2 linked regions of the Callithrix jacchus genome follow. The protein of the gene in region 2 purifies or fractionates together with the protein of the main gene of each other region. This does not show direct contact. Links are inferred from orthologs where the notes say so. Each region holds a gene or a part of one and is shown on either strand. Other genes may lie near its edges.

Region 1 (3,745 bases), on a different chromosome or scaffold from region 2:
TCATTCATTCATCAAATATTTGTTGAGAACCTATTATGTGCCACTCACTATGCTAGACAACCGGGAAAGGGACAGGTTGGAGGAGCCTGGGAAGTAGCAGAGCTAGGCCACCAATTTGGAGCCAGACAGGCTCGGCTGTATGAATTCTTGCTGTCACAAGTCAAAAACATTTGTGTAAGCCGCTTGATTTCTCTGAGCCTCAACTTCCCTACAGGCAAAAGGGGATGGGTATACTTACCCCAAAGATCTGTGATGGATATTGAAAGGGCTGAGCCGTGTAGTGTCCCAAGCACAAGCCAATAAAATGTTGGTGGACGTGCTCATTCTATTCCCACCTCCTCAGCTCCCTTACAGGAAAAGGAGGTGCGCGTGTAGGTAAATATCCTATGCGCCAAGTCAGATCTAGGCGTGCGAACAGAATTCCCACCTGGGATCCAGAAGCATTTCTAGGAGCGCCCTTTGAGAAGTAGGTAGTTATTCGACTCCTGGAAATTCCAGGCCCGGGGAAGAAAGGGAATTGTGAGGAGGAACGGTGGTCTGGGTCTGAACGGCTCTGAAAGGTCTTCAAGTCTGGGGATGACGTTGAGCTGTACTTACTCTGCAACGATTCTGGGAGCAAGAGGGTGGACATCCCCCCCGCCAACCCCCACAACCGCGCGGGCCCCTGGGGCGTCCCGGGCTGCCCTTTCCCAGCCCCGCCTCCCGCGAGGTCCCAGGTGCGGGAAGGACGGGTAGCCGCTTGGCCACAGGGGGGCAGCAGCGGCCCTTCCTGACCCCACCCCGAGCACCTCTCAACTTTCCCGACGCCGGTCCTCCCCTAGGGGCTGGAGGCTGGGCAGGGGCTGAGTCCACCCGGGTCCTGCTCGCCCCGCTCGCCCGGCTCCTCCGCAGGCCGGGAACCTCCCCGTGGCGCTCCCCGACCGGCAGGGTAGACGCCCCCGGCCCCTGGCCCCGGCCCGCGAAGGGGACGAGCCCCAGCGGCTCTGCGCGGGGCCGGGGCGGGCCGAGCCAAGGGCCGTCCCCGGCCGACCCTCCCCCTGCCGGAACCGCCCTCCCCGCCGCGGCGCTGGAGGAGGGCGGGGCGGGACCCGGGGTCAGTCCGAGCCTCCGGCACCGGCCGCGCAGCTGAAGGCGGCGCAGCGGAAGGTACCCTGGGCCAGGGCTGCGGGCGGCGGGGCGCCCCGGGAACTCGTCCCCGAGAGAGCACTTTCCCTTTCTCGCTCACCCGGAGATCGGGGCGCGGGCGGGGAGGGGGCTTCGGCCCGGGCGTGGACCCCGTTCCCTCCGCGCGGAGTCGGCGTCCGGGTCGGGCGGGGGTCGGGCCGCGTCGGCCCCTCCCCGGGCTGCAGTGGGGGCCGCGGACTTGCCCGCAGGGGCTCTGGCCTCCGGAGGTCCGAGTCGGAGTCCCTTCCCCTCTCCTCCCGGCTTCCCGGAACCTGCCCCGCCGGGCGCAGGGCGAGGGAGCCTCGGCTCAGACGCTGCAGCCCCCGGGGCGGGCGGCCGCAGGGGACCTGGGGTGGGATGGGGTGGGAGTTCCTCCAGGCCGGGAGGGAGTCTTGGCAGGAATAGGAGCGGGATGTGACCTGCCACCGTTCGGCCGGGGCTGGACGCCGCCCTAGACGGTTCCTGGAGCCCGCGTGTGTTGAGGATAAGGGAGATGGGAAGGATCCAACTCGTGTGTGTGTGTGTGTGTGTGTGTGTGTGAGAGAGAGAGAGAGAGAGAGAGAAAGAGAGAGAGAATGAGAGAGAGAGAGAGAATGAGAATCTTCCTCCTCCTTCATACTCGAACCAAGAAACTGTATCCTGGGGTTTGGGGCTGGGGTCCCGAGGCCGAGTTCGCCCTCACTCTGTTTTTGAAGTTGAGAATGCGGTATATCCAGAACGATTCCTTCCCTAGGTTTGGGGTGGGTCGGCAAAGGCAACCGGATCCTCTGGGAATTCAAGAGAGTGATTGGAGAGAGGTCTGGTGTCTCCACACTGTCTTGTTTTGGGGAAGGCCCCAGAAGTTCCAGGCGCCATTCCAGGCCCTGTGTGGGATTCGGTTGCCCCTCTTAAGGGGTCAGTGGGACAGTCCCTCTGGGGCTGCGTCTCATAGGGAGTTGTCCGTGCCATCTTGGCCTTGGGCCTCGTGTACTGGCCTGGCCTGGGCCGCTTGCACTTCTAGCCCAGCCATAGCCTGGAGGGAAAGCGTTCTAGTTGAGCTGGAGGCTCAGGGCCCTTCACCAGCTTTCTGTCCTGTGCCTCCTGCCAGTCTGGTGCTATCTGAATTACCCTGTTGGTGGGACAGCAGTGGCATACTCATACCTGTGACTGACTTTCACCCCAGTAGTGATGGCCTGCCATCAGCACTGCACACCCCAGGTTGGGGCTACCCCAGCGCATCCTTACATAACAGGGCACGGTGAACTAATGGGAGTGGGTGGAGGAGTTGGAAGAAATCTTAGCGTCAGTCATCTGGGTAGAATTCCCAAGGAACCCTCATTTTGGAGGATGGTTTCCATTTCTGGAGGCGATCGGCTGAAATGCCTTCTTGCCTGTCTTTTGGGGAATCCGGGAGAGAGAGCATGAGAATGAGAATCTCATTGTGGCGGAAAGAGTGCAGCTGTGTCCTTTGAACTCCTACAAATTCTCTGCTTTATGTCTGCTGACCAACATCCCAGTTTTGTGAATGTGTGTGGAGGCAAGGGAAGGGCCACCCAGGATCTACTGTTGAAGGAACAGGCCTGGGGCTGGAGTATTCTCTTCCTGAAGGGTAGTGTGAGGTGGTGGTGGGGTATCGGCCACAGAGGAGCTCAGCCCAGTTTGACAGGATGTGGGACTGAGAGAAAAAGCTAGGTTTGGGGCAGAGATCAGGTTACCGGCGCTTTCTCAACTGCTCCCTGCCTGGTTGGTGCTGGGGCTGGCCCTCATTTGTCTCTTCTTTTGGGGCTCCTCCCAGCCCAGACTCTGGCCCCTTCCCCCTTCCCAACAGCCTTGACTTCATCTCAGCTCCAGAGCCCGCCCTCTCTTCCTGCAGCCTGGGAACTTCAGCCGGCTGCAGGTCAGCTCTCCTCCCCAGGGAAGGAGGAAGTGAGGGAAGCTTCAAAGGTGTGATGAACTGTGCAGATGCTCGTCCTTCACCAGCTAGGGGTGGGGGACACATGGAAGCTCGGGGAGCTGACTCCTTGCCCTGAGTCACAGGGAGGGGTGGGCAGGGCCCACGGATGAGCTGGACTGAGGGAGGAAGGGGCTGTTCCAGAGTGGGTGGAGGTGATTCCCTGGTGGATGCTTCTCAGTCGCTGTGCTGTGGTGGATGCGTGGCTCCCTACAGTGTGGTCATTGTCCCCTGCCGGGGGCTGAGTGACCCAGCGTTGCTGGCAGGCCCAGGGGGAAGGGGGAGGAAGGCAGGCTGCCCAAACTCGAGCTGTGGGCACTGCTGGGACTGAGCCTCCTTTGTATGACTTGGGGCTCTGGGGACCGGGCGGGGTGGGCCAGGGAAGCCGGCTGGCTGTCCTCTGTCTGGGTTTCCCTGCTTCTGCTCTCCTTCTCACCACTGAGGTGACATTTTGAAGAGGCACGGTTTTGAGTCACACCGTCCTGCTTTGAGTCACACAGTCCTGCTCTGGGTACTATCCCTGCCGCTTATAAGCCACGGCTCTGAATCTGTGTCTTAACCTCACTGAGCCTTAGTTTCCTAGTTTGTCAAAATGGAAAGTGCACCATCTACCTTTCAGGCATCTAGGGACGGAAGGAGATAATTTCTGCC
Region 2 (3,645 bases):
AAACATTGTTTCAAACTTTATAAAGCATCTCCAGAGTTTTTAAGAACAAAGACCCAGTTATCAGCCAAACTGCCTGGGTTTGAGCCATGGCTTTACCACTTACTGATTATCTGAACTTGGGCAACTTTAATGACTTAATCTGAGCTTCAGTTCCTTCATCTGTATGACCTGGAGATAATATCTAGCTAATAGGATTTTCTGCAGGATAAAAATTTGCTAATATCTATAAGCTACTCAGTACAATGTCCAGCATATAGTTATTGCTCCATAAAGGGTTGCCGTCAATATTATTCGGTCACATGTGACAAATACAGTGTTTTATCTATTTTTTATCCCATATTCTATAAGGCAAAGTGATTCCATAGAATAGCTATTCAATAAACATTTGCTGAATTAGTTGGCGAGAGGGCAGGAATTTTAAAAAGGAAATACTCAGGTGAATGTTCTGGAAAAGTAAGATGAAAAGAAGCTATGCCTGGGCCAAAGAGAGGGCACTATTCATTTCTGATGTACACATTTCCTTAGTTCATTCCCTACTCTTCCTTCTGCTTCACTTATCTTTTAAGGGTGATTGGAAACAGAGGACAAAATGATAGTTTAAGGTTCTTCCTTAAATGATTGCATATGTATCTGTTCATGTCTTGTGGTCTTCTTTACTCAAGCTCTTTTGTGATTTTTATGCAATTTTTTTTACTAAGAATTCTATATCAATTTCAAGTAAACTTTTGCTGAGTAAACAGTAAATTAGGGAGATTAGAAAAACCTTTCTAAAACAGATTGATAGGAAAAGATGTATTAGATGCCAGAACACAGTTACCATAAAAACTTAGTTCTTGGACTCTATTGATTTAGCATGTTTGATCACTAAACAAGTTTGGGCTCGAAGCAAAGATACTGTGGAAAAATAGTTTCCTCAAATAATGGTTATGAAATGGAAGCATAAAGGAAACCCTAATATTTTTAACTACAACATATATCATTGAAGCTGACTCAGAGGCTGTTTTTTAAAATATCCAGACCTTAATTCAAATTATTAAAAATAGTGAAAGTAGCAGAGAAAATTACTTTTAAAATATTCTATAATTGAGATCTCCCACTAAATCAGATTTAGTGCAAGAGTTCTAAGACAACAGAACCCTCAGTGGAATGAGGACCAAAATAAGTACTAGAAATAAAGGTGAACATTGTTTTTTTTTTCATCTTACTATTGCAAGATAGTATGGTTTTTTGTGTAATAACTGTAATTATTACAAAAAACTATGAGATATATACTTACATCATTTCAATGACATTGATGATATTACTGAGATAAGAGAGCAAATTATTATTTGCTCAGTCAGTAGGATTTATTGAAGCCAGAGCTTGCTGCCTCCTCTGCCATGGAGAGAAGACAGAGCTCTAAGCACCATGAGAAATGAAGGCAGGTGGAGAATTTTAAGTTCTGCTCAGTCTTTTTGCAAGTAATTCAGTTTTTAAATTTATAAGATCAAATCAAGGGGTAAGAAGTACTTAATAATTTTTTTATATAAAAGCTTTACCTGGAACATCTCCAGAACAACTACCTGGTCCTATCGTGAAACTTTAAAAATAACTTTTTTTTTAACAGGCAGGGTCTCACTCTGTTGTTGCCCAGGCTGGAGTGCAGCCTGGTGTGATTATAGCTCACTGCAGGCTTGAGCTCCCTGGCTCAAACAGTCTTCCACCTCAGCACCCTGAGTAGCTGGGACTGTAGATGTGTGCCACCATGCTTGGCTAATTTTTTTAATTTTGGTAGAGGTGGGGTCTTGCTATGTTGCCAGGCTGGTCTCAAGCGATCCTCCTTTAACCTTCCAAAGCACTGGGAGTAAGTCCTGAGTCATCATGCCCAGCTGAGAACTTTTTAAAATTCTAAGTTGTATTTTTGTTTGTCAGTCCTAAGGTAGGTCAACATTTGAGGTAATGGTACTTTTACTTATTTGGCTTTGGTAGCTTCTAAACCTCCTGTTTTCTAATATGAACTACAGTGGTCTTTTCTACTTAGGCAATTTAAGTTGTCATCTTTTGATAAATTTATTTAAAGCTAAAAGCTTTTTCCTTTCCTTCTGTGGTGAAAAAAAAACTGCGATTAAATAAAATGATTCATACAGGACACTGTCGCAAAACCACTCAACAATGAGTTGACTGATTTTAATGCATGTTCTTTATGTTTAAAATTAAAGTTTATAATTCTGTGATATTTATTTATTGTAGGATGTAATTAAAACCATTGTGCAGAGTGGTGGCATCAAGCATCTAGTTACCATGGCAACTAGTGAACATGTAATAATGCAGAATGAAGCCCTTGTTGCTTTGGCATTAATAGCAGCTTTAGAATTGGGTAAGTACTCCAGTGACAAACTTATTTTCTTCTATTTTTATCTTGGATGAAAGGAAGCATAGAAATGGAGTTGAAGTCAAACATAACTTGACTGAAAGCATTTTGCTAGTGTGTCTGTACCATTCTCTGAATCTATGGAAAACCATTCTATCTAGGTTGTTACAGCTGTCCCCTTTGGTTGTGTTTTTGGTAACGTTTTTAGGGCAATGCATTAAGGTAAGTTTAACTTTTAAATAGTGCCTTAAGTTACAGCCACTTAGAGAATAGAGAAAACATTTTCAGCCGGCTTCACAGAGAAACCAAACAATATTTAGAATTCGACAGCACATGAGAAGTCTGCTACTCTCCCAGAGACCCAGATTTTCTCTTCCATCTCTGCTGGTTCTACTGCTAATTCTTGCTGTTCTCCTTCTGCATCTCGATCACTGTGATTTCTGTGGCTTGGTAGCATTGCCTTACTCCTGCATGTTTTACATTCAGAACTCCCCCAAAGCAGAGGCTAAATAATTCAATTAGTTTCGATCTAACATAGCATTTCTTTCTTCGTTTTTTCTGAGAAGGAGTCTTGCTCTGTTGCCCAGGCTGGAGTGCAATGGCGCAATCTCAGCTCACTGCATCCTCTGCCACCGGGGTTCAAGCAATTCTTGTGCCTCAGCCTCCTGAGCAGCTGGGATTACAGGCACGCACCACCACACCTGGCTAATTTTTATATTTTTTGGTGGAGACAGGGTTTCACCATGTTGTCCAGGCTGATCTTGAACTCCTGACCTCAAGTGATCCATCCAAATTTCTGGGATTACAGATGTGATCCACCATGCCCAACCCTAACATAGCATTTCTAATGAGCAGAATTCTTCATGAGAAGCTAATTCATAGGCATCTAGTTTATGAATAGCATAAACTAGATGGCTTAGGAGCTAACCCAAGACAGTCAGGGATCGTGTAACAGAGTCACATGTCCTGTTGTTAAGGCCTAAGGCTGCTTTACACAAAGGACTTTACACTTAGTAGGGATGTCCTATCCAATTCAAAGCCATTTGGGTAAACACTGTTAACTGATAGCCTCTTAATTCCCACTGATGACTTATATCCATAATTCTCACACTGGGACAAATAGATCCTCCAACTTGATTCCAGAAAGAGGAAACACTAATGCGAGTATTTTTTTATGTGCATAGAGTGTGTAATGATCAAGTCAAGGTGTAGAGGATATCTGTCTCCTTGAATAGTCTATTGTTGACTGGAAGCCTTACTGATAATAATCAGTGAACACATATTTTATATATTAT

What was found. The genes of interacting proteins can lie anywhere in the genome.
Region 1: the proteins of RAP1GDS1 (region 2) and RHOC purify together in Homo sapiens (co-immunoprecipitation; 3 studies listed by BioGRID and IntAct, counting the BioPlex papers as one, with this or other methods). This does not show direct contact. The link is inferred for Callithrix jacchus from reciprocal best matches to the Homo sapiens genes RAP1GDS1 and RHOC.

What each region holds. Positions count from the first base shown.
Region 1 is NC_133508.1:150,668,759-150,672,503, reverse strand, and holds the start of RHOC (rho-related GTP-binding protein RhoC), read left to right. Parts: upstream 1-1,096; 5' UTR 1,097-3,087; intron 3,088-3,745. UniProt on the Homo sapiens protein: Regulates a signal transduction pathway linking plasma membrane receptors to the assembly of focal adhesions and actin stress fibers.
Region 2 is NC_133504.1:99,079,634-99,083,278, reverse strand, and holds part of RAP1GDS1 (rap1 GTPase-GDP dissociation stimulator 1), read left to right. Parts: intron 1-2,229; coding exon 2,230-2,356; intron 2,357-3,645. UniProt on the Homo sapiens protein: Acts as a GEF (guanine nucleotide exchange factor) for the Rho family of small GTP-binding proteins (G proteins) that stimulates the dissociation of GDP to enable subsequent binding of GTP.